Notamacropus eugenii: one gene and its partners. The protein of the gene in region 4 interacts with the protein of the main gene of each other region in a pairwise test. Links are inferred from orthologs where the notes say so. Each region holds a gene or a part of one and is shown on either strand. Other genes may lie near its edges. The genes, in order: TNPO2, NUDT18, PDZD4 and APIP.

Region 1 (7,834 bases), on a different chromosome or scaffold from region 4:
AAAGGAGGATCCAAAATATCAGGCTTATTAGTAAAAGTTGCCTAGTTTTCATTGTCCCACCAGCAAAGGCCCAAGCAGAGGGGACCAATGTAATTTGTTCCTCCTGCACTCTTACCACCCCGAACCTCACTGGGCTTTAGCCACAGTGAATATTTGATTCCTGGAATTAGGATTTGAAATGCTTCCTCTCCCATCACCTGTAGGGGAAGCTTCAGATACTGGGCTCCAGGACTCAGCATTATGGGACTGAGAAAAATATTAGCTTTCAGGATCATCTTTAAAAACTCAGCAGTAAAAACAGTCCATAGTGGGGTGGGGGAGGAGACTAGTTACTTGATTTGAAAAAGAGACTTTGAGCTAGGGACACTGAAGTGTCAGCTTGGTCTGTCTCAGGGCAGGATATCCATGGAACAACCTCCTCCAGTGCGTGCCAGCCTAGCTTCAGCATTCTTTGGCATGTTCCCCAAATGTGAAAAATGTCTAGCTCCAGTGGTTGCTGCTTTTCCCCTGGGGCTCACCTGAGTAGGCCCGGGGGACATGTTGGCTGCCAGGCTCCAAATTCAGCTTGTCTCATAGGAGGAAAGCAGGGCTGCATCCACTGGCTCCATGCAAGAGGGACATGTGAGAGAGCGCATGAGCCAGTCATCAATGCAGTGGACGTGGTAGGTGTGCAGGCATGGCAAGAAGCGTATGGCATCCCCATACACAAAGTCCAACATGCAGATCACACACCTGCAGGGACCAGGGATGGATGAATGTATAGCACTGGTTCTCACCCTCCACCCCTCCACCCCCACCCCCAATTCCCCTCCACTCCCAGGCCATTCCAGCCCAGCATCTCAGCTCCGATTGCCACTGAGGCCTCCCTCCGTGTACCCAGCCTTGAACTACACTGTTGATTGAGGAGACATTAGGGCCTGCCTTCAAGTATCTCAGCCTGGGAGAGACAAGGAATGGCAGACTTTGGCCTTGCTCTCAGGGATCTGTCTAGAGAAAACAGAAAAGTATCTGATCCTGGCCCTGCCCTTTAGTTCATAGTTTGGGAGAGACCCAAAACCTTGCCCTTTAAGAGCTGCCAGAACTGGGGTGATGTGGGGAGTGGGGTGGACATGGACAGTGAGCTCCAAAAACAACCCTATTGGGGTTGAGCTCAAGGATCCAGTCAAGAACACAATGGGTGTGTCTTAGGAGCCTGAGTGTTTCCCCAGACTTCCCTCCTAAAAAGAAAAAGATTGAGAGGCCTCAGTGAGGGGTCTCAGATTTCTGCTCCCTGAAGGCTGCATGTCTACAGCAACATTCCCTTCAGGAAGGAGCCTGGGGCATCCTCATCCTGTTTCCCACCCTTACTCTTTCATTTTCTTTTCGGACCCCTCAGAGCCGGGGTCGAAGATGCCCTTGGGTAGGTGCTGGATGAGGCCAATTCTCTGGGCGATGCGGATCTGCTCCTCCTCTGTGAGCTGTGTGGCCAGTCGGCTCTGGCTTGGAGATGGGTGGTACACTGGGATTGGCTCCCGTGCCTGGGGGGGATGGGGACAGGATGTACATGGCAACTTGTCTCTGGGGAACTCATCTTTCAAACTGCCTGTGTCTAGTCCCCTATCAGGGCCTCAGGTTGTCTAGCTCGAAGTCTGCTTTAAGGGGATCTATGAGCTTTGTACCCTCTGAACCTCCTCTGCCATTCCCTAGGGATCCTAAATACAATATCAAGTGCACCACACTATGAATGGGACTAATTCCTCCATGCACATAGCCCTACCTCAGTCCATCACTGTCTCTACATCTCATCATACAATCTAGCACTGGAGAGGCCTGAGAGACTATTTAATCCGACCCTTTCATTTTCTAGAGAAGAAAATACAGGGGAAGGGACTTAGCCAAGTTCACATGGCTAGTAACTGATGTAGGTTTTCTTTTCTGAATCCTATGCCGTTTCCACTGCCTAATGATCTTATTCAGTAGGAGGACTTCTGTGTTTCTTTGGTTTTGGGATTCCTAGAGTCAGTCCTCCTGCCCCCAGTCCTGACCTGCCCTGGTTTGGCAAACTCCAGGGTTCCCCCTCTGCCAACCCAGTTCTATTCCATTTCTCTCTGCTCTACCATGTCTTATAGGGTGAAAAGAGTAGATTCCAAAGATTTCCTCCCTCTCCAACTAAGCCTGACCCTCAGGGTCGTTGAATTTGACAGTCCACAGTCTGGCCTGACCCTTGAAGGTGTAGGTGGTATTGGTTACCCAGGGTTTTTCTCTTTCACCACTCTTGGGGATGGTGGGTGATGGTGGGTGAGATGCCTCAGGTCCCTTATGCCTGACTTTGCTGGTGGCTGGAATTGGGTGGCTGGTGGTGGATTCTCAAGGTCCCCTGTTCCCAGTCCTGCTCTGTCTCTGGGGCAGTAGGTGGGTAGTGGCAGATGCGAGAGTTGCCCTGGTTAAGGCTGTGCCTAGGCTTTCTGGCCGTCCTCGCAGATACTCCCCAGCCCTGGCTGCCTCTCTGGGGCACTAGCGGGGTTGGGGGTGGCAGATGCCCAGGGTCCTCCTGTGCCCAGCCCTCCCCTGCCTCTCTGGGGATCAGGGAGTGGCAGATGCCCCGGCTCCCAGCCCGGCCCGGCCGGCGCGGTGCTCACCCTGCTGGGAGGCGGGGGCGGTGGCGGCGGCGGCGGCGGATCCCCGGGAAAGCTGCTCCCGTCTCTGGAGTCGTTAAGCAGCGACAGGTCGTCTGCGGCTCCGGCCCCCGCCTCGTCCCCAGCTCCGGTGCCGGACCGCTGCGACGACAGACAGTTCCCCATGCCCGGCCCGGCCCGCTCAGCGGCGGCCGAGGCCCCTACTTCCAGGCTTCCAGACTCCGAAGTCCGTTCCAGCTTGGGAGACCCCGGACAGGCCGAGCCTCGCCATCCCCTCTCCACTGCCCAGGCTCTTGGCCCAACTTGGACTCACCGCTGTTTACAGCCCCAGCCGGAAGTGCGGCAGCTCGAGGCGCAGAGGGTCGTGGGAGTTGTAGTTGCGGGTGAGCTCGGGGACGGAGCGTGAAATTGATCGAGGAGCAGGGTTAGTCGTGCGCATGTGCACGCGCAGGTGAGGTTCCTCCATTTGCTTCCGTGAGGGCGGAGGGAGAAGATCGGGAACATGTGTTCTTGCTTCTGGTTTGCGCTGAGTCCCCAAAGCTCCGTAGACCAAGCACACCTAAGGTGACTTCAGAAGTGACCAGGGAACATGTTTGAACTGCATCCTGTCTTCCATTGTAATTATTCATGGATCTTATCTCCCTTGGGGGTTTGTGACCTCCCAGTCTGGGACTGATCTCATTCTTTCACCCTTGTCGCCTCCTGCCAGGGGCGATGAGATTTGATGCCCTAGTTTTGAGAAATATTTGCAGAAAGAATGAAGACTAAGGCCTTGAGCCCTGGATAGGATAAAAGAGGAAAAATATCTTCTGTCTTCCCTCCCTCATCCTTATGGCAGTCCTTTCATTGCAGCAAGCAGGAGCTTTCATCCCTTGTCCTACCCTATTGCCCCCTTCAGAATCCTTCTGTAAACCCAGGAGGATTCCAGGGAAGTGCAGAGCCTTCCTTGGGCCTAAACTGCAAAGACTGGGCACACCGGGAAGTTCAAAGGATCGTGACTTAGAACCCCCTTTATTTTAGAGATAAGGAAACAGACAAGGAAGGAGATCTTTATCTAAAGTTACACAGTAGAGCAACGATTAAATTTCAGAATCTTTGACCTCAAATTGCTCTTTTCTCTGTACTCTCTTCTAACTGTAGGATGAGGGCCATAATCCTAATTTATACTGTGGATTGTTTCTTTTAATTCAAGTACACACACACACCCCTCTCCCGGAGTCTAATCACCCTAATTTCCTTCTCCACTCTGGCTGGCCTCCTCAGTTACAATGGCCAGCTCACTCTCCCTGAGGCCTTTCTGTTCATTGTGCCCATCTTACTTTCCTCCTTTTCTATTTCCTAAGCATTGGAATGTTTCAAAATATGTGATGGATGGCAGCGATGGGGGGAGGGAGAGAAGACGAATAAATTAGATCTCCACCCCAGGGTGAGGACACAGAACAAACAAAATGCCAACGACCTTCTCATACACCTGCCTGGCCTGAGTTTTAGGAAGCTGGCAGCTGAAACAGTGAGGGGAGGGATGCAAGAAGGGAGAAAGGACAAGAATCAGGGAGGTTTGGGGGAAGGTAAGGGGTAGAAGTAGGTAAGGCTGTGTGTATATGAAGCCTGGAATCACAGAACTCTGAGTTGGAAGGGATCTTCAGTCATTTCCTCCATTTGATCTAGAAGGAAACAAGCCGAGTCAGGGAATTTGGAAGGCCAGTCTAGAACAGGAGCGAATACAGCATCCAGAGTGTCCCAGCTCCTAGACCTGTATTATCCACAGGGTCATAGACCGAGCACTGGAAGTGATCCGGTTCAACCCCCCTCATTTTTCATTCACATTAGGGACCTGAGACCCTGACAGGTTTATTGATTGGTCCAAAGTCATAAAGCAGGTGGCAGCAGAGCTGGACCTCGGGAAGAGGGGGAGAAATGGAGCATGGAGAACGGGTGGCCCTGAATAGGAAACGAGCCCGGCGCTTTCTCTTGAGGATGATGACGGGGGGCTCCTGCACTCCTCACAGGACCCAGGGGCGCCTCAGGTGCCAGGCCCCAGGGCAGGTGCCAGCGGAGAGCAGTAAACGAGAGACTGGAGGACCGAAGGCCAGAGAGACGCAAGAAGTAGCGGTCTCCCCCGTCACGTGACAATCCCTCCTCTGGTTCCGCTTGGTCGCGACCGCCGGTCACGTGACCTCACTCGAGGCCGTGCTCCGCCTCTCCTTCTTTTCCCACCAGCGCTCGCCGCCCTTCGCCTCCCTTCCTCCTCTCCAGTCACTGGGACCGTCCATCGTCTTGATTGGCTGGGGGGAGACAGTTTGAACGGCGGACGGAAGCCGCTGCGGCTCAGGCCAAGTCGCGTTCTTTTTTTTTTTATTCGCTTCCTCGCTCCTCCCCGTGTGTGTCTCGGGAGAAGCCGCAGAACGAGGAGTCGCCGCCGCCGCCGCCGCCGCCGCCGCCGCCGCATCTGCCGCCGTCGTCGCCGCTGTCCCGGTCACCGTCGGGTCCTGGTGAGTGGCTCGGCCTGAGCCCTGATCGGGGCTGTCGGCCGCGGCCTGTGGGGGGGGAGCAGGCGCGCCGGGGCCGGGGCTGGGCCTGGGGGAGCGGCCAGGCCTGTTCGAGGGCCCGGGGCCGGAGAGAGCGGGACAAGGAGCGAGGGGGTGGCTGGGCGCGGCGGCAGCGGGCCGGCCCGATGGGGCCGAGGAGGGCCGAGGCCTCAGCCCGGCGTGCACCCACCTCCCGGCATCTCCCCTCCCCCCACGCCTTGTCGCCTTGGCCCCGGCCCGGCCCCGGAGGGGCCCCGGCCCTCCCTTTCCTCCCCGGAGCCGGCGCTTCGGGGGCCCCCAGCTGCGAACAAGGTGTGGGGGGGTTAATCACCTCAGGCTTTCGGGTGTTCTGTTGCTCCCCCATCTTCCCACGTGGCCCAGGGGGCTTTTCTGCCTCCTCATCCCTCCCTCCCCCGGGGGGTGGGGGGCAGCCCTGATGTCCACTTGGGTGACCAGGAACTGCCCAGAAGAATCTAATCTGCCTTCTTTTCCCTTCCGGACCGCAATTTAGACCATCCCCCCACCATGGACTGGCAGCCAGATGAACAGGGCCTTCAGCAGGTCCTCCAGCTCCTCAAGGACTCCCAGTCCCCCAACACGGCCACTCAGCGAGTTGTCCAGGACGTATCCTTTGGCTGGCTGACCCCTCTATTGTCTTAAAAGACAGAGAGAATGGAGGGACCTAGGACTGTGCATCCTTCCCTTCTCCCAGGCACCGGGGGCCAGGGCTGGCTTAGGTTGTCTGGGCCCTTGGACAGTTACATCCCATTGTGTGGATATATTGTATTCTTTCCCCTAAGTCATCCTTAAGCATTAAAGAGTACCTACCGTTCTGTGCTGTGCCCAGCCAGCACTCTGTCTGACATGGGAGGGGGTAGGTGAGAGAAGAGCCCATAATACAACAGAAAAACTGCTAGAATTTTAGTCAGAGATCCTTTCTACAACTTCTAGTCACTTCTCACTGAGTCTTGGTTTCCTCCTCTTGAAATCAAAAAGCTGCACTTACATGATATCTAACTCTACCTCCTCTGATCTTGGAGGGAGAGACCATGAGATCATAGCTCTAGAATTGAAAAGAAACTTAGTGGTGATCAAGTCTAACTCTCTACTTTTACAAATGAGGAAACTGAGGCTCAGAGAGGGCATATGACTTGGACAAGGTCACAAATTTTAGTCTGAGCTGTTATTTGAACCTAAGATCTCAAGTTTTATATTTTATCCTCTCTACCAGACTGCCTCTTTAAGAGCTCTGGAGGTGCCAGGGATTGAATATGTGCTCTACCACTGAGCTAAATCCTCTCTAGATATTCCTGCGGAAATTCTCATCTACAGGGAAGAAAGGTACAGAGTAGAATCCAGGGCAGTTAGGAAATATTCAATCTCCCCATTGATTGGGGGCCAATAAAGCTTGTCTGGGGGTTGTCCATATAGTAGGATGATGACCATTAAGGATGGATGGGTTTTTTTAAACAAACATAGTAGGTATTAGGAAGTAGTGAGTGTCTCAGGGGTCTGATTTTTATCTTTTTTGATATCTAACTCCTCACCTGTGTTATCTAGAAGGGTCGGTACTGAATTGGCTTAGTCCTTAATGTTGCCCTACAGAAACTAAAGCAGCTAAACCAATTTCCTGACTTTAACAACTACTTGATTTTTGTCCTGACGAGATTGAAGTCAGAAGGTAAGTCTGGATTGGCTTTGGACTGATTCCTTCTGCCCCTCTTGCTTTCCTGTCTCTGGCCTAAGGGTTAAGGGGTCTCATGGCCCCATCTACTTGAGATCAGCAAGTCCAAATCAGTAGACATTTATCAGGCACCTGTTGTGGTTAAATCATTTCACTGAGGATACAGTGATGAAAAATGGAACAATTCCTATACTTGAGGCATATCAGTGTAATAGAAGTCATACATAAACAAGTAGGATATGAAATAGAATGTGATATAGAGACAATGAAATCCAGGGAGGTGGGGGAGTTCCTGCAGAAATGGAATCAGGGAAGGCTTCATGAGAAGATGGAGATGAACAAGCCAAGCAGAGGCATAGGGGATAGCCTTTGAATATGAAGGTACAAGGGATCAGCACACCTTGTTCTGCTTATAGTACAGTGTGACTGGAATGCAGAACATTTGGATGTGAGAGGGCCATAATATGAAATGTACCTGCAAAGGTAGATTGGAGCCCTTTCTCCCTTACCAGTGCAGCAAACTGACAGGTATGTTGTGCCAACTGGATCTCTTTGGTTTTTCAGTGTAACCTTGGATCCTGCCATTCCTCAGGGCCTGGGTGATAATTCTGGCTCACAGGAATTGAGCCCCTTAGAATTTCTGATCCAGTATTTTCCTCAATCCCTTTCCCCAGATGAACCAACACGCTCCCTCAGTGGCCTCATTCTGAAGAACAATGTGAAGGCACATTACCAGAGCTTTCCCCCACCAGTGGCTGACTTTATAAAGCAAGAGTGTCTCAACAATATTGGTGATGCCTCCTCACTCATCCGAGCCACTATTGGTAAGGTGGGGGTGAGTGGGGGGAGCTATACTGGGTGAGGATGCTGTCTCCTCCATTTCCCTCCACCTCTGTCCTTGCATGCCCTACCTCAAGGCAGGCATAGCTTCATGGAATTTCCTTCTTCCCTTCCCACTAGGTATCCTTATCACTACCATTGCTTCCAAGGGAGAGCTCCAGATGTGG
Region 2 (7,346 bases), on a different chromosome or scaffold from region 4:
ACTCACTGCCCCAGGACTCCCTGTTCTTGGCTAATGGGTTGACCCTGGGAGCCTTGAAAGAATCTGAATGGAGAATAGGTGGTGAGCTCTATGGTGGGCAATCCCTTATTAATTAATGAATCCATCACAGAACACCTACTGTGTGCCCAAGCCTATAGCCTCAGTAAGAATAGAAGAGGGTCTCTGTTGTGAGCGTGCTCCAAAATGCAAGTGCAGACAGGGAGAGTCTGGGCAAAGAGCCAAGGGAAGAAAGACAAGTGTGAACATGGGAATCCTTACAGGCAGAAGCAGCCTTTGGCGGTCACTGGACCAGGTAAGATGGATCAGATGCTTGAGGGTAAGGGGTGGGGAACACAGAAAGAGAACGGGAAGAATGTGGTGGGCATAGACTTTGTCCTGGGCACTGAGTGGACCCATAAAAAAATCCCAAAAGAATTCCCCCCAAAATGTGGACGCAGATGAGGAAGACTAGGAACTAGGACCACAGCTCTGAGCATTTACCCTAGGGGGCTCTTTGGGTACCCTCCCCTTCTTCTTCACTTAGCCATCATTTAATTCAACTCAATTCAATGAAACAAAGATTTATAACCTCTTCATCCTTCAAGTCTCAGCTCTGGAAAGTCAGATATCTATTTTATCTTTCTTTACAATGCTCTACTTAACAACAGATTAAATTTTTTTTCAATGAATGAATGAATGAGCAAACAAATGGTGAGTGAATGGGTAAGTATGGCAAAGAATTGATGAGTCATGAATAAATGATTAAATAGATGAGTGAACAAGTGAATGAGGAAATGTGCTAATGAGTAAATAAATGAGGGAAAAAGAGCTGTCCTCAATGAGTTTTTATCACCGGTCCAGAAGAACTACTCCCAGAGTAAAATAACTTGTAATGTGAGTGCTTAGCTATGGTTGATCATCTCTGAAAAATTTTGTAGAATGGGAAAGGTGCTGTAGAGTGGATACAAAGCTGGTTGAATGACTGTACTTTGCTTGCACTGATGTCTGAAGTTTAATGGCCACAGACAGGGATGTCCTAGCATTTAACAAACACTTCTTTGGAGAAGAAAAAGCACATTGGATACACTTTTGGTTTTAATCTGAATTATTAACATTTTCTCCATAACTTTCTTAAATCTGGACAATCTACAAAATGAGAAGTCAAGTCCTGGTTTGTAGCATTTTCCTAGTCAGTATGAACTGTCTCCACTGACTACAGGGATTTGTCATATCCACAACTCAACTCAATAAACATTTATTATAAATTATAAATAAAACATTTGTTAAGCCTCTACTTTGTGCTAAGTACAAAGACAAAAATGAAACAGACTCTGACCTTAATGAACTTATGTTTTATTGTGGGGAAAGAACATATATATGTGTGTATGTGTATGTATACACACATGCACACATGTATATACACATACATATATGCACACATATATGTATATATACAGATAAGCAAATGTGAAAAATATACAGTAAGCACAATCAGTGAGTCAATAATTATTTAATAATAGTTAGCATTTGTACATAGCACTTTAGGGTTGGCAAAGTGCTTTACAATTGTTATCTTACTTGATCCTCACAACAACCCTGGAAGGTTGGTGCTATTTTCATTTCTATTTTACAGATGAGGAAACTGAGGCAGTGAGAGGTTAAATTACTTGCTGGCTCACACACTTGGATTTGAACTCAGGTCTTCCTGACTCCAGACTCAGTGCTCTATCTATTGTGCCACTTAGCTGGTCAGAAAGGTGGCCAGCACTGTACTAAGTGCTGGAGATTAAAAAAAAGAGAGACAAGAAAAAAGAGACAAGCCCTTCCCTCAAGGGCCTAATTCTAATGGGATTAATGTAATTAATGGGATTAATCTAATGGGATTTTAATGGGAGAGAGTAGATGTAAATAACTAGGTACATACGAGAGAGAGAGAGAGAGAGAGAGAGAGAGAGAGAGAGAGAGAGAGAGAGAGAGAGAGAGAGAGAAAGTAATCTGACGGGGGGGGGGGGGGGGGGGGGGGAGCGAGGGGGAAGGGCCATTGAGAAAGTGGAATTTGAGTTGAAGAGCATTCCAGGCATGGGGGCAGCCAGTGCAAAGGCACAGAGGTGGGAGATGAATGTCTTATTCAAGGAAATAACTTCAAAGAGGCCATTGTTTCTGGATCATGAGGGGGAGTAGGGTATAAGAAGACTGGAAAGTTAGCAATGGGCCAAGTTGTAAGAGGCTTTCAATACCATAGGATTTTATATTTGATTCTGGAGGTAATAGGGAGGCATTGCAGCTTTCTGATCAAGGGGGTGACATGGCCCCCTGTATTTCATGAAAATAATTTGGCAGTGATTGAAGGATGGATTGGATTGGAAAGAGACCTGAGGCAGGGAAACCACTACCAGGAGACTGGTGATGAGGGCCTGGATGGCTGCATGAGTAGAAAGAAGGGGATGTGCTGGACAGATATTGAGAAGTGAGAAATGACAAGACATGGCAATGGACTGGATATATAGGGTGAGGGAAAGTGAGGAAGGGGAGATATGCTGAGATTTGAGAGCCTGGGTGACTGGAAGAATGGTGGTGAGTCTCTCCCCCACTCCCACACCTAAGACTGAAGGAATAGTGAATTTATTAAGCCCTTACTATGTACAAAGCTCTATGCTAAGTGCATAGGGAAGTCTGGAAGAAGAGGATTTGGGGAAAAGAAAATGAATTCTATTTTGGAAAGGTTGAGTTTGAGATGCCTAGAGGCATCACAAAAACCTGGGGAGGTAGGTGCACTTATGATCCCCATATCACAGATGACAGAGAAGTTTAATGACTTGATGTAGGTATTTGTGGAGGGGGTGGTTAGAGATTTGGAGAGCAGAAAACAGAATAAAGTTGAACTGGTTTTACTCTAATGTGAACACTGGGAAAGAAGGTAAATAGGGCCACAGTACTGGCTGAGGAAATGGGAGAACTGGCATTGCAGACTCAGGTGAGGAAGAGCACTTTAAGAGGGGTGAAGCTTGGGGAAGGGTGGAGAGGTTTGGGTCAGACAGGGGAATTTGGGGATTCTGGTATAACCAACATTCATGGATGATGATGCCATTGACGGATGCCCAGACTTTGGCCCTGTGCTGTTTTCAGATTTTTATCAATGACTTGGATGAAGGTATAACTGGTTTGCTTATCAGATCTGTAGATGACATAAAGATGGAAGGGAGAGTGGTTGGGTGACAAGAACCAGGAGCCTATTCAGGGCATTTGGACCGGAGCTATGGTTTCACTGATACAGTAACCCTAATATGAGGAAACTCCCTATGTCAAAGAAAGTCAACGCTTTGGCTTATTATAGTCCCAGCTGCCAAGGGCGCCTAGAGGTGAAATGACTGGTCCTGGTTCCCCTAGCCGATGTGTCGGAAGGCTAATAGCAGTCATGAGAATGAGCATTCATACTGCAATTCAAGGTCTGCAAGGTCCTTCACAAACATTACACCACTGGATCTTCACAGTCCGGAGAGGTCTGTGCTACGTTACCTCCATTTTACAGATGAGGAAACTGAGGCAGGCAGTTCAGTGACTTGCCCGGGGCCACTCCGGTATCGCAATAACCCTTCCAAGTTCGCCAGGTGCTTTATAAATGCCATCTCACCTGGCGCTGGGAGGTGGGCGCTCTTCCCCTCACGTCCCGAGGACGGAGCAGGTGGGACTTTAAGGCTGGTCTCCTGACCCCGGGCCGGCGCTCTGGCTACCGCACCGGGAGAGCGCGGGAGCCAGACTCTGGACCAGCCGAACGGACCAGGTAACGACCGTCCGCCCCTCCCAGCCCGCGGCCCGCGGGATGCTCTCCGCGGTGACGCGGCCCGGCAGAGCCCCAGGCTGCCCGGCACGTCCAGGGCTGCACGGACGCGCGTAAAGCCACTCGCAGGATCAGACACGCAGAGGCGCGGGGGGGGTGGCGGGGTCAGGCGCCTGTTCGTGAGAAGGCTCGCGGCCCCCGGGGGCGCGCGTGGGCAGACCAGCGCTAGCCCCGAGCTCGGAGGCCAGGGGCACCCCGCGGCCGCGACTTGGGGGTAGACAAAGACAAGCGTTCGGTTCGCAAGCGTCCAAATTCCAAGGACTACCGGGCGCGGTGGGGGCGGGGAAGGAATCGGAGCTGCGGGCTCGAGCCGGCTCCCAGCGTCCGAAGGGCCGACCTGGGGAAAGGCACTGACCCAGTTCTGAGGGGCGCCAGGCGATGCAGGGGGCAGCTTTAGGGGTGCCCGAGGGAGGAGGGCGGCAGTGGCTGCGTCGGACTGGGGTGCAGGGGGGAGGGCGAAGTAGACAGCGGGGGTGCGGTAGGCAAAGGTCAGGGGGAGCTGTCACCGCTTTTTTGTGACGTCACTCCGAAGCCGTCCTAGGCCTCACCCACCCGCCTCTGTGGGTGACGTCATCTGCTATCCGCAGGGGGCGGTGACGTCATCACGCCGCCGGAGGGAGAAGCGAAGGGGGCAGCGCAAGCAGGGAAAGCGGAAGTCTGAGCGGTCACTCCTCAGACTCGGCTCCTTTAAGAACAGTCTCCACCTCCGGAAGGCCAATGGCCAATGGAGGGGCCGGGACGGCTAACGTCATAACAGCGGGGGTGGGGAGGGCACGCCTGGGTCTCCCGGGAGAGGTGGGGCCGGAGGAGGGAACCCGAGCAGGCCCTGATTTCCCCTCCCCCTCTAACTCCCCCCACTCGTCCGACTGGGCCTGAGCCTTCCCGAGGGCCGATTCTGGCCTTGACCCTGACCTTGACCTTGCCCTCTCTGCGCCCTTAGCCCCTAGCTCCAGTCTGTCCCGTGTGTCCCCCGGGATCCGTTTCCTTTGAACCCAAATTTTCCATCTTGGTTCCTGGGGCTCCACCTGAGTCCAGAGTCCCTGCTCCACCCCAACCACACCCCCCCACGTGATCCAGTCTGGGTCTCAGCCTCTCCCCTGCATCCCTCCCCACCCCCACCCTCCACCCCCGCCCTTGCCAATGGCATCCTCAGGCCTGGCAGGGGACCTGAGGGCCGTGCTGGGGGGCCAGGGGCTGCCGGTGCTGGACTATGACTCTGTACCGCTAAAGGTCTCACCTGTGCCCGTGCAGCTCAGGAAGAATGTCTCCTATATCGTGCTGGCTGTCTTCTTCAACGACCAGGTGAGAGGCAGCCAGGACCCTGACTCCAAAGTCTTTGGGACCCCAGACACCCCAAGATAGAGGACCCCAGAGCCCGGGCCCATGTAACCCATGGGCTTAGGAAGGAGAGACGAGGAGAGGCCCCCCTCATTGGCGAGGTGCTGACCCCGTTTTCATTCAGCATTGTATTACGTGCCCTGCAGGAGTGACACCCAAAGAAGTCTAACATTCACCCCAAACATTGACTGAGTGTCTGCTGGGCACAGCGCACCGCGCTGGCTGCCACAGGGTGCAAGCACGGAGAATTCTAGTCACCATTTATTGATTAAACACTCGCTCACCGTAAGCTAAGGAGACCGAGAGGAGAAACAAGATACCATCCCTACCCTCAGGGAGCTCACCTGTCGGCACTTGCAGGTGGGAGTGTGATAAACGTATAGGAAAGATGCAGACCAAACGTTTAGAGAAAGCTCCATGACTGGCTCCATGAGCCGGGTCTTGAATAAAGAGGGAAACCTTAGCAGTTGTCCAGCTGTTCAGGAAGGATTTAGTAAGCACCCACTATGTGCCACATGTTGGGGTTACAGAGATAAAAAGATAAAACTGTCCCTGCCCTCAGGGGTTTGTATTCTACTCGGGGGAAATAAATGCTTATTGAATAGATATAGGGGGAGGAGAGTGAGAACAGGCATTTATTAAACATCTACTGTGTACCACATGCTGAGGTTATCCAAAGATAAAAGGACAAAACACATCCTGCCTTCAAGGGGCTTATATTTTATTGGGGTAAATAAATGTTTATTGAACTGACATGGGGAGATTAGAACAGGTATTTTTTAAACCACTGCTGTGTGCCAAGCACTTTACAAATATCGTCTTGTTTGATCCCCACAACAACCCTGGGAGGTAAGTACCACCATTGTCCTCATGTTACTGTTGAGGAAACTTCGGTAGATAGAGGTTAAGTGACTCGACTAGGGTCGCACATAGTAAATACCAGAGGTCAAATTTGAACTCAGATCTTCCTGACTGCAGACCTAGTGATCTATTACCACTTAGCTGCCTCAAGGGGAGGAGGAATAACTAAAGATTACTGAGGTTTACGGTCTTTTGTGACTGGGAGGGTGTTAGTATTATTAACAGAAATACAGAAATCAAGAAGGGCAGGTTTTGGAGGTAGGATGATGAGTTCAGTTTAGGACACACTGACTTTGAAGTCCTGACAGGACATCTTGATATGGGAGGTACCCACAGGCAATTGGAAGCCTTGGATTGGCATGCATGGGAGGATCAAATCTAGAGATAAAGATTTGGGAGTCATCTGCCTTGGGGTGAAAATGGGAGCCATGAAAGTTGATGAAATCATCAAGGGAAACTTTATAGAAAGACAGGCAGATCCTGAGAGAAACAGAGAGTGGAAAGGGGAGGGGGGGAGAGGCAGATCCTGAAAGATACAGAGAAACAGGAGAGGAGAGAGGGGCAGATACTAAGAGAGGGAAAGAGAGAGAGGCAGAGTTGAGAAAGGAAGAGAAAGAGACAGTGATGGGGGTGGGACAGAGAGAGAGAGAGAGAGGGAGGGAGGGAAGGAGAAAGAGAGAGAGAGGGAGAGAGAGAGAGAGAGACAGAGACAGAGAGAGAGAGACAGAGAGAGAGAGGCAGATACTAAGAGATAGATATTGAGACAGAAGAGTCAGTTACTGGGAGATGGGAGAGATACTGAGGAAAAAGAGAAGTGAGGAACCTCCTCCCTCCACCCACCCTGTTTTTCAGGAGCTGGAAGAGGAGCCACCAGAGAGAGAGATTAAAAAGTGAATGGTCAAAAGGCAAGTTTAGAAGTGCATAACTATTCTTTCTAAAGAGGAAAGAAGAATAGTTTGAGGGCATAGCTGATTTAGAAGGGTGTTTGTTTGTTTTTAAGTTAGGAGAAACCTGGATATGTTTGTAAGTAAAGGAAAGGCGTCACTAAAGAGGAAGAGACCAAAGATGGGAGAATATACATTTGATGCAGGTCCTGAAGAAGGAGGGAGGAGATGGGCCCAGGTGGCCAGAAAGGGAGGTCACCTCTTCCTCAGAGACCAGAGGAAAGGAACTGGGCCTGGGTCTGGGTATTACCACAGACTTTGAGGTGTGGAAGAGGGAAATTGAGGGAAGTTTCAGGCAGATGACCACCTAAGATTGGGGCCAACTACTGACAGTGAGTGGGATAGATTAGAATTGGGGGGTTTGA
Region 3 (7,848 bases), on a different chromosome or scaffold from region 4:
AGAGACAGAGAGAGAGAGACAGCTGGACTTTGGAGTCACTGGAGAACTCCCTCAAACCTCCTTTCCTGGCATGCCAGGACACGGTGACATGGCTTAGCTTACTTTCTTCATGTTACCTCTTGCTGTGGCCTCTGGTCAATTGGCCTCTGCTCTGCTGTCCATCCTTTGGTTACAGCAGAAGCTCCAGATTGGCCCTGATCCTACCACCCTCATTGACTCTAGGCTTGCTGCTAGCCCCCCTCCTTCTTGGTTTTTGCTATCCCCACTTGTAAGTTTGAAGGCCTGAAAGCCCTGGGCTGTCAGCTTCAAGCAGCTGGAGCTTTTGATTTCTTCTTTCTTTCTTTTTTCCCAGCTCCAGCTAATCCCACTTTCTGAGACTGATGAGGGGAACAGGGCTTCTGCTGAGGCGCCACAGAGCCTGGGAGGGCACCTGCTCAGAATTTCCAAGCAGCTGGGAGCCTACTTCCCCCTCCCCTGGCCCCTTAGGTCCCCTCTTCTATCATATCTATAATCTCCATATCCCTTCCGTAACCCCCACCATCAGCCCATCCTCATCTGCTTTCCCCTCAAGGCCTCCTTTTTTCCCATCTTTGATGTTTGCCCCTCCTGCCCTGGACTCCCACCTGGGCTGTGCCTCATCCAGGACTCTGTGCAGTGAGCCTAGGGGCAGGTCTCAACCTAACCTTAGAGCTTGGAGGGAAGAAATAGGTGGACATTTAGTAATTGTTTAAGAAGACAGATCACTCATTCCCTACCCAAAGGTACTGAAACTCTGCAGAACATCCCCTTGCATCATATATCTCTTCTCCTTTAGTCTAAGACACAAACCTTCCAATTCCCTACCCCCACCTGCCCCCACAATGACTACCTGGCCCCCAGGATAGAAACCCAGAAATCAGCCCAAGATGGAGAGTGGCTTTGAGGGAAGTTCCCAAAAGGCCCCTCTGTTCTGAGGTGGAGCATGAGGGGGTGGGGACAGGAACAGCTTTCGTTTGTGGTTCCTAAGGACCTCAGCTCCCCAGGAGGTCGCATCCCATTCAGATTCTTCCAGGGCACTCTGGTTTCCTCTAGGTTTTCAGACCTTTCTCTACCCCTTGGCTTAAGAACCTAAGAACAAGTACCCCTGATCCTCTTCTTCCATTGCCCTTGTCTCCCAGGAGCATGAGCTGCAGGTCCATGCCTCTTGCCCTTCCATCACTCTCAGACACACAAGGCAGACCACAAGTATACTCCATTTCCATCCTTCAAGGGATCTTGGTTTCCTTTGCTTGGGGGTAGGGGTGGGCCAGTACTTCCTCCAACAGTATAGACTCACTTACCTTTTCTTATCCTGTGCTACTCTTGGCACTTGATAAATCAACAAACACTTAAGTTGCTGCTGTGGGCCAGATGCTATGCTCAGTGCTGGGGAGAGAAGTCAAGCCAAGACATCAAGCTATCATAGCTATCTACTATGTGCAGATGAAAATGAAATAGTCCCTGCCCTCAAGGAACTTAGATTCTATTGGGAAGATCCCATGTACACATAGAAATAAATGCAAAACATATACAAATATCCTACTCTACAGAATAAATGCAAAGGAATTTTTTGAAGGGAAACACAAGAAGCTGGGGAAAACAGAAAAGGTCTCAAGCAGGAGGTGACATGGGAGAAAAGTCGTGAAGCCTGAAGACAGAAGATAGAATGAATGCTGTGTGTGAAGAAGCCCAGTTCACCGAGGGGAGTGCGTAAATAGGCGTAATGTGTAATAAGCCTGGAATGGTGGGTTTGGGGCCAGATCTAAAGGGCTTTAATCACCAAACAGAGGATTTTGTTTGATCCAATGGGCAGCAGGAAACTAGTGGAATTTATGGAGCAAGAGGATGATGCAGATCTGATCTGTACTTTAGGAAAATCACTTAGGCAGCTCTATGGAGGATGGATTGGAGAAAAAAAGGAACTGGAAATAAGGAGAACAATAAGGAGACTCTTACAATAGTCCAGGCAACAAGCGATGAGGGCTTGAATTAGAGTGATGGCTGTGTAAATGGAGAAAAGGGAAATGTGGAGGTAGACTTGGCAAGACGTGGCAATGGACTGGACAGTGGGCTGGGTGAGAGTGAAGAGTTAAGGATGACTGAGGCTGTGAACCTGAAAAATGGCATTGATGGTGGTGCATAAGTGGATTTTTGGGGGGAGGGAAAAGAAATTGAGGTTTTGGGGGGGATATGTTGAGTTTGAGATGTCTACAGAACACTGAGTTTGAAATGTACAAAAGGTGATTGGTAACGCGAAAATGGAGTTTAAGAGAGAGATTAGGGTTGGATGTATTTAGGACTTGCAATTATCTATACAGAGATGGTAGAGGAGCTGATGAAGTCTTCAAAAGAGAGGGGAAGGCCCAGGACACAAGTACACCCACAATTAAGGAGTGGGATACGGATTGTGATCCAGCAAATAGATAGGAAACAGTCAGGTAGAAGAACCAAGAGAGAAAAGTATCATGAAAACTTCCAAAAGAGAGAGTATCCAGGAATAGAGGGTAGTCAACATCATTAAATACTACAGAGGACTCAAAAAAAGACAAGCAGTTTAGTAAAAAGGCCATGGGATCTGACAATGAAAAGATCTCTTTGAAGAGAGAAATTTTCGGTGAGTGATGAGGTGGATAAGACCTTGGAGTCTAACTACTCCAACCTTCTCATTTTACTTCTTTCATGAATTTTATTTTTTTATTCTGAACTTAAACACCCCAACTCCCCCTCCAAATATTTCCATATACACAGCAGAGCAGAAAAAGAAGCTTGTATATGAAACTGAGTCTCCATTTCATACCACTTGCTTTAAAAGCAAAACACCATATACTAACTTCATGTGTTACTTTCAGAACTTGTCTGTGTTTTTTCCTTTTATTTTTTGTTTTAAAAAAATGTTTCAATGGCCCTCTTTTAGGTGGAATTGCTAACCTTGACTCTCCCTCACATTAAAACCAAAGAAAGATTCCTGTAACAAATCCAGGAGGTGGTCATGTCCAAAATGTCTCTTTCTATGGGCTGCATCCTTTCTGTAAGGAGGCACAACCCTCTCATTATACCGAAAAGAAAACAGTCCCAGCGAAGGGAATAAACTGACTCTTAGGGATTTAGAGCTGGATTTAGAGCTGGAAAGGACCTCCTTCAGAGGCCATATTGTCGATTTTACAAAGGTGGAAACTGAGGTTCAGTGAGGTTAAATGCCTTGCTCAAGGTAACATTAGTTTAAGCCAAAGTTAGAACTCAGGCCTCCTGACTCCTAGAGTTACATAACTCAGCTTTTGTAGTCTCTATTGGCCATCTCCCAGTTTCTGCTCTAGAAGCGTACTTTTCAGATGGCTTAGTCTGGACTGATTCCCTTAGGATTCCCTCATGGAAAGGGAGTTGAGGTACCTTGGGGGGTGGGGTGGGGGGCGGATTGACTCCAAAGCTTTCGTTCGAACCTTTTGAAGGCCTGATATGCCATTCCAGGGTTCAATGAAGTGACTGATCTAGTGCAACGCACTGTTCTTGGAGTGACCACGGCTGCCTAAGTCACTTCTCGTTTTAAGAACTTCCCATTTCTCACCCGTAAAGGCAACTCCGTAAGGCTGGAGTTGCACTGGTTCGAGGGAGCTTTTTCTCCAAAGGACATCACAGGGCTGGTCCAAACAAAAATGGGACAGATGACTATCCTTGCCCTGTCTACCTACCTCCCCCGGCTGGGGGTGGGGGTGGGGAGCGCATAGACGCAAGTTCTTAGAGAAGAAAAAAAATGACAACCCATCAGCCAAGGCAATGAATCAGGGATGCTGAGGGAAGGAGCAGTTATGTAGAAGAAGAAAGGCAGGCAAGAGAGAGGAGAGATGTCGACGGGGAGAAGCTGAGACAGAGAGATTATAGCTGGGAACGGTGGGGGACCCAAAGCCAGACCAGAAACAGGGTTCCTAGTGGCCCCTCGACTCCCCTAGTTTCCAGACTCCTTTCATCGAAGACAGTAAAGGAGATTGGGGAGCAGGGGGCGGGGGAAGCACGAGGGATCGATCTCAGGAGGTGGTGCCCTCTCCCCCAGGTCCGCCTTGCACAGGCGGGGTGGGTGCACTGAGACACTACCCTCCACCCCTTCACGCCGTCGGGGGTGCTACAGAAAGGGCGAGGGCAGGGCGTGAGCGCCAGTAGGGTTACAAGCCAGGCGGGAAGCAGAGAGCAGCCCACCCCCCACCCCCACCCCAGGTCGAAAGGGGCTCCAGGTGTCTTTCTCCACCCCACCATCTCCCCCTCCCCTCCCGGACTCGGAGTGCGCCTGCGCGCTGCTCCCCCTCCCCCTCGGCTGGCGAGCGCCCTACAGTCAGGGAGAGAGGAGGAGAGAGGGCGGGGGAGACGGGGCGGCCGGAGCGCAGGCGAGGCGCTGGGCTGTCGGAGACGTTGCCTTCGCCGCCGCCTCCTGCTGCGTGGCGGGACCAGCCGGACCGGGCCGAGCCGGGTCAAGGCGGTGCCGGCGGACGCGGGCAGGAGCCCTCTTGGGAGGGCCCCTGCCAACCCGCCCTTGGGTCCGTCTGCTCAGGCAGGGAGGGGGCGGCCGTTGCTAGGCAACACTCGTTTCGGCCCGCCCGCCTGCCCTCTCGTCCTCCCTCCCTTGGGCCTCGAGCCCCTCTCCTCGCGCTCGGCCCCTCCACGAGGGCCAGGGGAGCATGCCCCCCTGGCTGGGCTGCGGCCCGCGCAGCACGCCTGGGAGGAGGGGCCAGGGGCGCGCCCCCCTCCCCCGCTGAGCGCGGCCCCGCCCCCGAGCCGCGCCATGGCCCCCCCGCCCGGCGGCCCGGGAGCCCCCGGCTCCCCACCAGCCCTGCGGCTGGACCAGTGAGCCCCGGAGTCGCCTGCCCGCCGCCAGCCGCCAGCCGCCCCCCAACCTCCCTCCCCACCCCATCCCCCGGCTGGCACCATGGGATGTAACATGTGTGTGGTCCAGAAGCCAGAGGAGCAGTACAAAGTGATGCTGCAGGTAAGGGGTCTGGGCCGGGGGGAGCTCCCGGGGAGATGAGGAGGGGGAGTCAAACTGGGCCCAGTCGGGGTTCGGGAGGGGTGAAGGCCTAGAATTCTAGTGCAGTTTATCAGAAATCCCGCAGAAGTTGTGGGGTGGGATGCCACCGTCTAAGTGGAAGAAGGGGGCATCATTTTGGGCATCTGTGCGGGAGCCTTGAAACAAAACCACGCGGGGCGCGTGGATTGTCCGATATGGGCATGGATTAATGGGCCCTTGCTAAAGAACATTCACTTTAGGATTGGGGAGCACGGAGTAAGAGGTCCAACTGAAAATGGGAAGCCAGGGCAGGATGGGGATGGTTGCATAGCAACGAGTTCATTTCCCAGCAACCCCCCCCACACCTTCACACACACACACACACACACACACACACACACACACACACACACACACACACACACACACACAATGTGTCACCCAACGTGTGGGGAAGGCACTCTTACCTAGAGGGGAGAAAGAAGAAATGAGAATAAGTAATAAATAAAGACACAGGCTAGCCAGGATGACAAGGACACACCGACTCCTCTTCGCTCCAACCCACAAAGAGCAAGTTTCCCTCTGGGGCTAGGCTAGATGGTTTTATCAGCCTTAATGGTCTGCAGGTATTTCCGAGGAAATAGAATGCTGAGTATACACACGCCCAAGAGCACATAATGATAAGCCACCTCCGCTTCCTCGAATGCCCAGGGTTCTTAAGTGTCTAGCCGAGAGCGGCAAAGTACAAGAGCACAATTGTTTGTGTTTGCCACATTTCTCCCAAGATTTCAGTCCCCACACGTAGAGATTGAGGAACAGGAGCTGTTAATGTACATGTTATGGATCAAGTACATTTGTGCTTATAGTATTCAATGAGCATGATTCGGGTATCGGCCATAATACAGAACAGAGAAAAAGAGAAAAGCACCATCTCTGTCCAATCAGCTTGCAAGCTTAAACTAGAGAGGGAAGATACTGACAAGAATGTGTCTCTAATAGCCTGTATATCCTGTTGGTGTGCAGAAAGGTGTGCTTATGTGTCTGTACTTGTATATGATATGTTTAGTGTGTATATGTATATATATATACATATATAATATATTAAAGCCGGGCATGTGTATCTGTTTATACACTGTATATGCAGTGTATGAATTTAGACATTTCATAATACTTAACACAGGTACCTTTTACATATACTGTACATTCATGTATATATATGATCAATGTATTATGGTATACGTGTGTTTATATTCTTTACATATATGCATATGTGTCCATATGGTACATACTGTGTGGGCACGTAGACATACTAATGTATGTATGCTTTCTGTGTTGGGGTGTAATTTGTTTCTAAAAAATTAGTCACCCATGGCCAATCCAAACTCCCTAGGGTAATGTTCCCAATATTGACAGAGGTCATAGTTGGGTAGTGGCTTAAATAGAGTCTGGGGTCAGAGCAGACTCAAAGGCAGAAGATGAGAGAAAGATGCTTTCTTAACCAGCTTTGAGTTCTTTAACTACCCATGTCCCGTCTGTTAGGGTTTAGATGGAAGAGGGTGGGGAATGTGAAAGACTAGATGTGGCCTGAGGCATGGGGAGATTTGCTATACAGAGAGAGAGAAAAGAGAGATTTCTCTGCTGAAAAGGGTGGGGGAAACAACATCATGAAATCTGTTTTAAAAAACAGAAAAGATACCACTGTGAAGGAAGTATGGTACATAGACCTGGGGTTTAGTAGGGTGGAACTAAGCCTAATGGATAGATCCAAAATTGATGTTTGGAACCGAATTCCTTTGACCTGAAGAGAATAAAAAATGAACAGGTAAATGTTGCCTTGTAGGAATGTGTTCATTTTCCTTTTCTTTCCGTTTCTTTTGTCTTCTTGTACTCTTTCTACCTGTTTCTCTTGATCTATTTCTAATTTCTCTTGTTCAATTTCTGTCTGACTGCCCCTCCCCTTTCCTACTTTCTTCCTGCTATCATGCTATCTCTCTTTCTCTTGGTCTCACCCACTCCAAATCTTGCCTTTGTGGCTGAGATTTGACACCATTGTGAGAGCGATGCAGGAAATTCACAACCTGGAAATACACAGGCTATTCTTCAGAATCAGTGTTGTTCTCAGGGCATACTGGAAGGAGGTGGGGTGGTGGGGTGTTGTAGTGATAGCTTGGTGGTGGTGTAATGAACACCAGCCTTCCTGTTTCAATGTCTAGAATCATTCCAAATGGAAACCAATTCCTTTCTCACTGAATCTTCACTGATAGTGATAGGAAAGACACTGGAGGGAATGATTCCTTTATAGGACAAAGACCAGAGGAGTGTGTGTGTGTGTGTGTGTGTGTGTGTGTGTGTGTGTGTGTGTGTGTGTGTGTGAGAGAGAGAGAGAGAGAGAGAGAGAGAGAGAGAGAGAGAGAGAGAGAGAGAGAGAGAAAGAGAGAGAGAGAGAGAGAGAGATCTTGAGGTGGGGCAAGGGACATAGATTCCATGTTTATTATTAATTAGGACAATGAAGGGGAAAGGAGAAGGAATTCTCTTAACTAAAGATGGTTAGTGTGAATATTTTGCAGGATCATAACACCCCTCTGCTTTGAACATTCAATAAATATTTGGGTAAAAAATTCCTTGGGTTGGGAGGAAGAATCAGAATTTAAGGTTTAGAGACTTTGAACTAAACAAGGGTTCATGGCTGAGTCACATTATAGAGTCCAGGCTTTGTCACATACTAGCCTCTCTCAGCCTTGGTTTCCCCATCTGCAAAATGGGGAAAATTATGCTTGCAGTACTTACTTCTGAGGGTTGTTGTGAAGCTCAGATGAGATAATATTCGTGAAGTACTTGGT
Region 4 (7,037 bases):
ATAAATAATTTTGCTTTCTGTTTGGCCTCCAGTCTTTGGCCCACAGTCATCAGACGCCAGCTAACCAGCGTGCCTTTTCAAAGAGTTCTCAGTTTTTTAACTGAGAGAACTCCCAAACACAAACAAGCATTTGCTTGAAATCAACGTTCTCTAAATATCCCTATTTTCAGGTGACACTAAACTAATTTCATCAAGCCCCTAGGATGCTGTTTCTTCAGGGAAAGACTAACCATCCACATTAGGAAAACAAAACAAAAACCCATATGCTAAACAAATTAAAACATGTAGTTGTGCATTAGGGTGTACACTCAAGACACTTTTAAATAGGTAAAATATTTACTGAATATCCAATCATAATAGGCATTATTCATCAAACAGAAACATCCTGGAAAATAAACAATTAAACTTTGCACAGGACCCTTTTCTTTATTCTAGGATTCACTTCATCATCACAATCCTTTCCACCCGCTCAGCTCATCATCACAGATATCAGTATTGTTACTTACACCAGTAAGTATCCTCAGCAGCCCTGCGCAGAAGAGTGGGACAAAACCAACAAAGCCTCCACTGAAAGGGGGTGCCTTGGTCCAGACAACTCTTCCTTTCCCACAAACTACAACCCTTGGATCTAAATCCACCATCCACATGGCCCAGCACCTGGGGTGTCCCCCCCCACTACAGTTTCCTTTTGTGATGTCTTCCCTCAATGGATTGTAAGCTCCTTGGGGGCAGGGACTATCTTTATTTGTGTCACCAAATGTTTAGTAAACATTTATTGTTTTGTAACTTCTTGGCTAAGACGGGTAACCAGAGGTGCTTCCTTTTAAGAGGTGAGCTTTTTACCTCTATTTCCTTTCATGGCCCCAAATAAGGAGAAAGAGACCCAGAAGAGAGAGGGGGAAGAAATGCCTAGCTGATGCTTTCCTGAGGCTGCTGCAGTCACAGATGATCAATGTCCTACCCCAGGCTCTGCAGTAGAAGCATTCCTGCAGCAGATAAGGCATAGGAGGAGATCCTTTGCAATCCCAGAGAGACTTTAGCCCAGGGGATGAGTGAGTCCCCTGAAGAACCTCCCTCTCCCATCAGATCTCTTTGTAAGTACTAGTGGTCATGGGAGGAGGGGGTGAGGCTTGGAATGGGAAAAGGTCAGCAAGTGCTTTGGCCCTTGGGAGTGACCAGGCTTTCCTCCCCGCCCCCACTAGACAGGGAAAAGGCTCAACAGGTCAAAGTTCTGACTGGTCTCTTCTGTGGTCACTCCTCCTCTTCTTCTCAGTTACACTCCCTTTTGGGGTTAAAATCTGAAGGAAATGGTGTACAATTGGGGCTCTCCCTCTCTTCTCATAGCCTCATCTCTCACTTAAAACTGCTCTCCCCAATGTTAGCAGTGATCTCACATGGGCCAAATTCAGGGGGCTTTTCTCACTCCTCATCCTCCTTGACCTCGTTCTCCACTGCTCCTCCAGTCTCTCTGGCTGGATCTCCATGCAGGGCATTCTGGGTGCCTCTTCTCTGGTCTCTATACTCTCTCATTAGGGGAGCTCATAAGCTCCATACAGATCATTCCCAAATTCTCCAGGCCTAGTCTCTCCAGTTCTCCTCCAGCTTTGAAAATGCCTCCAGGACATTTCAAACCGGCTGTCCTACAGGCACCTCAAATTCAACATGCCCAAGACAGAACCCATTACCTTTCCCCCTCAAACTCTTCCCGTTGTCTGTAACTTCTCTGTTACTGTCCAAAGCACCACCATCCTCCCATTTTTTCAACACCTTGGTGTCATCTTCAACTCCTCTCTCCTATCCACCTCACCTATCTAATCATTTGTCAAATCTTTTAACTTCTCCCTACAAAAAGTGTAGGTCTTATCATGTAGTCCGTCACTCAAGAAACCTTAATGGCTCCCTATTGTCTCCAGAATCATAAAGTTCTTTGTTTGGCATTTAAAGTTCTTCATAACCTGGCCCCTTCTCAACCTTTGCAATTTTCTTCCATTCCAAAGACCAATCAGCTGGTCATTCAAAACGCGTTGATTAAGCACCCATTATTCCATCTCTACTTGTGCACTCCTGCCCAAACCTCTAATTGGGGTAGAACACCTGCTCTGGCCCCTGAACCCCACTCTTAAATCAGTACTGTATGCTGGCCTCTCACCATTACCATCCATTCCTCTCCAAAGGCCACCTGGGTGACATCATTCTCCAGGTCGGCCCTGGTACACCTACAGTTGAACCCACTGGAGAAAGCAGGTTTGCCTCGAGCATTCCCCGGCCTTGACGAACTGGCCTGCTTGCTGCTTGTCAACAATCCATCCCTGGTCTCTCTGGCATTCCGTACAAGCTGTTTCTCCTCATTCCCATCTCTGACACTTCCTTGTTTCATTCAATCAAAGTTCACTTTCAGCGCCCCCTCCTAGGGGAAGCCTGTCCTGACTGTCAGAGCTGCCGGTGGTCTTCCCCCTTAAGTCACCGCATGCGTGCTGATCCTACCAAGCAGAGAACAAGCTCCCCGAAAGCAGGACCTGCTTCATGTTTTGTCCTCAGGTGCCCTGCCTAGCACGTGGTAAAAGCTGCTTAATGCTGAATGGCTCAGTGGATGGAGTGCCAGGCCTGGAGCCAGGAAGCCCTGAACTCGAACCTGGCCTCAGCCGCTGACTGACTGCGTGACCCTGGGCAAGTCACTTTATCTGCCTGCCTTCATGCAACGGAGAAGCGACTGGTGACACACTCTGGTGTCTTTGCCACTGACGGGGCTGGCACGCTGTGGTCCAGGGCCACGGATGGCAGAGACCGTATCGTGTGCTCCTTCTCTCTCCCCCATCGGGGGCACGGACCACCCTCCTCTCACGGGATTCACGGGAACTCAAGAACCCACACGGGTGCCCGCCACGTGCCAGGCACTGGAGAGACCGAGACCCAAACAGTAACTCCGGACCCTCGACCGCAGCGCCCGCCGTGGGGAGCGCCTGCTGTACTAGCCCGTGAGCTGCCAAGACGGAGAGGGAGCGGGCATCCACGGGGCACGGGGAGCGGGTCCGAGGCCCCGCGGGGCACGGGGGGGGGGGGGGGCGGGTCCGAGGCCCCGCGGGGCACGGGGGGGGGCGGGTCCGAGGCCCCGCGGGGCACGGGGGGGGGGGGCGGGTCCGAGGCCCCGCGGGGCACGGGGGGGGGGGGCGGGTCCGAGGCCCCGCGGGGCACGGGGAGGGGGGCGGGTCCGAGGCCCCGCCGTGCACGGGGGGGGGGCGGGTCCGAGGCCCCGCGGGGCATGGGGGGGGCGGGTCCGAGGCCCCGCCGGGCACGGGGGGGGGGGGGCGGGTCCGAGGCCCCGCGGGGCATGGGGTGGGTGCCGCAGAGGCGGTCACCACGGGAGCCCAGCGCCGGAGGGGAGCAGAGGCCTCCACAGCCTTCTCTCTCCGGGTCCCCACTTTAGAATCCACGCGGACCACCGCGCCTGGACTCCCACGGAGGTCACCCAGCGGTGTGGGAGGAAGCTGGGGATCGCGAAGGAACGCTAAGAGAAACAGCGGGCACTAGGGGCGGGAGGAAGGCAGTGAGCATGCGCAGACTCCGCCTCCACAGCGGCCTCCGCACGGCCCCTCCCCGGTCCGGTCCCGCCCGGGGGCCGTGCGCCTCCGTTTCCTCCTCCTCTTCCTCCTCTTGCCCCTGGCCCATTATTATAATAATGACCATGCTCGACCGCTTCCTCTCCTACCTCCACTAGGCCGCCGTGATAGCAGCAGCGGCCCTCCGGAGCTCGGCACGTGCTCATGGCTCACCCGGGCCACACCGCGGGACCTCCTTCCAGAGCCTTTCCCGATAGCTCTGCTTTTTCACTCAGGCAGGGCGGCGGTCAGCTTGGGGGTGGGGTCATGGGCGGGGCGCCGCGGAGCGCAGACCAATCAGGACTGAGCGTGGCGCTGAAGAAGGACGACTCTGAGGACCCCGGAGGACGCTCGCCCGCCCGCCGGCAAAGATGGCGGCCTCCTTGAGGCTGGGCTGCGGCCGCGGGGCGCTACGCTACCTCCTGGGCTCCGCGAGCGGCCGGCGAGCCAAGGCGGTCGTGACGTGGCTCGGCCGCGACGGCCCACGCCGGGGGCTCCATGGCTCAGCGTGGCTGCGGGGTGAGTGCAGCGGAGGAGGGGGCGGATCATCCCGGTCCCCGGGCTGGGCCCCCGCGGGAGCCGGAGCGCCCGGCCGGACCAGGCGGAACAGGCCGCGGCCTCCGGGGGCTGAGTGCGAGGGCGGGCCTCCCCTCTTTATTCTGGGGGCGGAGCGGACTCGAGGGCCGCGGCCTAGCGGCCTGGAGCCGGAGGCGACCGTAGAGGTCACTGAGCCCAGGCCCCGCCTCCTCCGGCTTGTGATTCTGTTACCAACTACCCCCCCTCCTGCAGCGCCGCCGGACTCGGGGTCCGGAAGTCCTGAGTTCAAGTAATCTGGGCATGAGACCCTTGGCATGTCACTTCAGAGTCTCTGGGCCTCAGTTTGCAGAACGCGGTCAGGAGGGGCGGCCGGGTGGTGCAGTGGGTAGAGCCCCAGCGGAGGAGTCCGGAGGACCTGGGTGCAAATCTCACCTCAGACACGTGACACTCACTAGCTGTGTGACCTTGGGCAGGTCACTTAACCCCAGCTGCCTCCTCCTGGGCCATCTCCGGTCATCCTGATGGACACTTGGTCCCTGGATGCCCATGGCTCAGGAGGAGGAGTGAGGCTGGTGACCCGCAGCCCTCCCTCCCTCCCAGTCACCTCATCATCTCCGCTGGCCGCCAGGGCCGAGCACCCCCAGGATGCGGTCCGTGTGGGTGCTGGTCCGCCCAGAGCCGGTGGGAGGCCCACGCCAAACCTTCCAGTGTGGTGTCGGTCCAAGTGCCCGCCACGTGCCCGGCTCTGCCACCACCAGCCCGCCGCTGTCATCGTCAGCCCTTCCTGTTGAAGACAAAGGCAGAAGGGCTGCTCCCATCATTCACACTGTTAGTGGCCACCAAACACCCCAGTTTAAGGGGAAAAAACTGTCCTTATTTTAAAAAGGTATACAAATCCGCTTTGGCTGCAGGTCAAGACGTCTGCCTTACTCTGTTCACAGGCTCTTTCTTCCATTAGGAGATAATCACCGGGCTTCGGTGGTATTTGGTGGCACCCCGTAAAAATGCCATCGTCCAGTCAACCATGCATTAAGTTGGAGCCGTGTGCCAGGGTGCTTGGTAGACAAGTGTAAATGGGGAAGGATAGAATGAGAAAAGGCAATGGAAAGGGTGGAGGTGGGGAGAGGACATGCCCAGGAGAGCTCCTGGTGGAGGTAGCTGCGGGGGCCTGCCCTGTGGGAAGGGGGGGTTGAAAGGACAGGGGGAGAGAAGGCTGTGGAAGTGGGTAGCCAGGACCTACCTGAGGCATGGAGGGGGACAGGGCAGAGAAAGGGAAGGATGGTCAGCCTGGGCATTTCCCCAAAACGGTGTAATGGGCAACCTAGAGGGTCAAGGCTGGTTGCTGGAAGTCCTTTTCTCTCTTTGATGGGATACTGAAGATGCTCCTCTTAGGAATCATATAGCTTCTTTGCCCGCTGTCTTGAGGAACCATGAATCTGCATCCTATCTCTCCTTGGCTCCTGATGTAGACATTGCCACAGAATGATGAGGGGTTGGGGATGGAGAGGGAAGATGTTAAGATACCGGTGGGTTGGGGAATGGTTCTCTGAATTGTTCTCATTCAGCTCACTTGAGCCTGCATCAGTCCATACAAGGCTTCCCAGGTTTCATAAAACTATTTCCTTTCATAATTTGACCATTCTCCAGTTAATGAACTCTTTGCTCAATGAACCGTATTGACTCCTAATTACTTGTAGAATCAAATAGCCTCACTGTTGTATACCTGTGAAACATGGACACTCTACCAGAGCCATGCCAAGAAACCGAATCCCTTCCATTTGAACTGTCTTAGGAAGATTCTGAGGATCACCTGGCAGGAGAAGGCGCCAGACACGGAAGTCCTTGCTCAAACTAAACTGCCAAGCATTCAAACTATGCTTCAGAGAGCACAACTCCAATGGGCTGGCCTTGTTCAAATGCAAAATGTGTGCTTGCCCAAAAGACTGTTTTATGGAGAATTCGTATGGGGCAGGCGATCACATGGTGGTCAGAGGTGATACAAGGACACTCTTAAGATCTCTCTCAAGAACTTTAGAATTGATTGTGTGACATGAGAGACACTGGCATAGGACTGTTTAGTGTGGTGTGCCTACATCAGAGAAGGTGCTGTGCTCTACGGAATTGAGACAGTACAAAGGAAATGCAGGATGTGCACATTTGTAGTATCCACCCCAAATGTTCACAGGAACTAGCTGTGCCCAGCCTGTGGTAGAACATTCCAAGCTCATATTGGTCTGATCAGCCACAGTCAGACATGCTGAAACGTGCCTTTAAGTAGTGATGGTTGAAAATGAAGAACAACAAACCAACTATGTAGTACACCTTTTGTTCCAGTCATTTGACATTGCTGCACACACACCCCTACACCTCTCAAAAACCCTAGTTACCTTGTACGTCTTTTGCATTAGATTTTGGTCTCCTCCCCCAAAAGATTTTTGAACCATATTTCAAGGCAATAGGAGGTTAAGTGACTTGCCCAGGGTCATGAAGCTAGTAAGTGTCTGAGGTCAAATTTGAACTCAGATCTTCTGACTCCAAGGATAGTGCTCTATCTACTGTGCCACCTAGCTTGCCCCTCTTTAGTATTTTAAGGTTCGTAAAGCCCTGTCTCAGCAACTCGTTGGAAGCTGCTGGGGCAGTGGACAGAGAGCTGACCTTGAGACTGACAGATCTGAGTTTTGGTGCCCCAAGCATGTCATTTACACTTGGGGCCTCAGGTAACTCTCTTACTGTAAGTTTCAGAGCAAGTACTGATCTGCATTGGTAGAGGAGGCCCTACACCAAGAACACCCTAGATCTAGGACGCATTTCTCTTCTACTTGTTTTGGCATGTTGTTTTCCTGCAGGATGTGTAAGCTCCTTGGGAGCTGGGTGGAGTGGGGCTCTCGTTGCCCCTCTGTAGCT

Evidence for each region.
Region 1: the proteins of APIP (region 4) and TNPO2 interact in binary tests that used the Homo sapiens proteins (3 or more experiments, as listed by UniProt). The two-hybrid records come from large-scale screens. The link is inferred for Notamacropus eugenii from reciprocal best matches to the Homo sapiens genes APIP and TNPO2.
Region 2: the proteins of APIP (region 4) and NUDT18 interact in binary tests that used the Homo sapiens proteins (3 or more experiments, as listed by UniProt). The two-hybrid records come from large-scale screens. The link is inferred for Notamacropus eugenii from reciprocal best matches to the Homo sapiens genes APIP and NUDT18.
Region 3: the proteins of APIP (region 4) and PDZD4 interact in a two-hybrid assay, tested with the Homo sapiens proteins (2 studies listed by BioGRID and IntAct). The two-hybrid records come from large-scale screens. The link is inferred for Notamacropus eugenii from reciprocal best matches to the Homo sapiens genes APIP and PDZD4.

What each region holds. Positions count from the first base shown.
Region 1 is NC_092875.1:78,211,842-78,219,675, forward strand, and holds the start of TNPO2 (transportin-2), read left to right. Parts: upstream 1-4,822; 5' UTR 4,823-5,107; intron 5,108-5,654; 5' UTR 5,655-5,668; coding exon 5,669-5,767; intron 5,768-6,748; coding exon 6,749-6,824; intron 6,825-7,501; coding exon 7,502-7,651; intron 7,652-7,787; coding exon 7,788-7,834. Other genes in the region: RING finger protein 11-like, read right to left, coding at 561-732, 1,348-1,517, 2,619-2,780. UniProt on the Homo sapiens protein: Probably functions in nuclear protein import as nuclear transport receptor. Serves as receptor for nuclear localization signals (NLS) in cargo substrates.
Region 2 is NC_092872.1:612,589,985-612,597,330, forward strand, and holds the start of NUDT18 (8-oxo-dGDP phosphatase NUDT18), read left to right. Parts: upstream 1-4,337; 5' UTR 4,338-4,542; coding exon of another isoform or gene 4,543-4,590; 5' UTR 4,591-4,978; coding exon 4,979-5,140; intron 5,141-5,146; exon of another isoform or gene 5,147-5,536; intron 5,537-5,542; exon of another isoform or gene 5,543-6,025; intron 6,026-6,889; exon of another isoform or gene 6,890-6,942; intron 6,943-7,346. Other genes in the region: uncharacterized protein, read right to left, coding at 3,632-4,337, 4,543-4,590. UniProt on the Homo sapiens protein: Mediates the hydrolysis of oxidized nucleoside diphosphate derivatives. Hydrolyzes 8-oxo-7,8-dihydroguanine (8-oxo-Gua)-containing deoxyribo- and ribonucleoside diphosphates to the monophosphates. Hydrolyzes 8-oxo-dGDP and 8-oxo-GDP with the same efficiencies.
Region 3 is NC_092879.1:22,693,501-22,701,348, reverse strand, and holds the start of PDZD4 (PDZ domain-containing protein 4), read left to right. Parts: upstream 1-4,833; 5' UTR 4,834-4,930; coding exon 4,931-4,990; intron 4,991-7,848.
Region 4 is NC_092877.1:16,507,395-16,514,431, reverse strand, and holds the start of APIP (methylthioribulose-1-phosphate dehydratase), read right to left. Parts: upstream 3,005-7,037; 5' UTR 2,378-3,004; coding exon 2,150-2,377; intron 1-2,149. Other genes in the region: PDHX (pyruvate dehydrogenase protein X component, mitochondrial), read left to right, coding at 3,968-4,115. UniProt on the Homo sapiens protein: Catalyzes the dehydration of methylthioribulose-1-phosphate (MTRu-1-P) into 2,3-diketo-5-methylthiopentyl-1-phosphate (DK-MTP-1-P).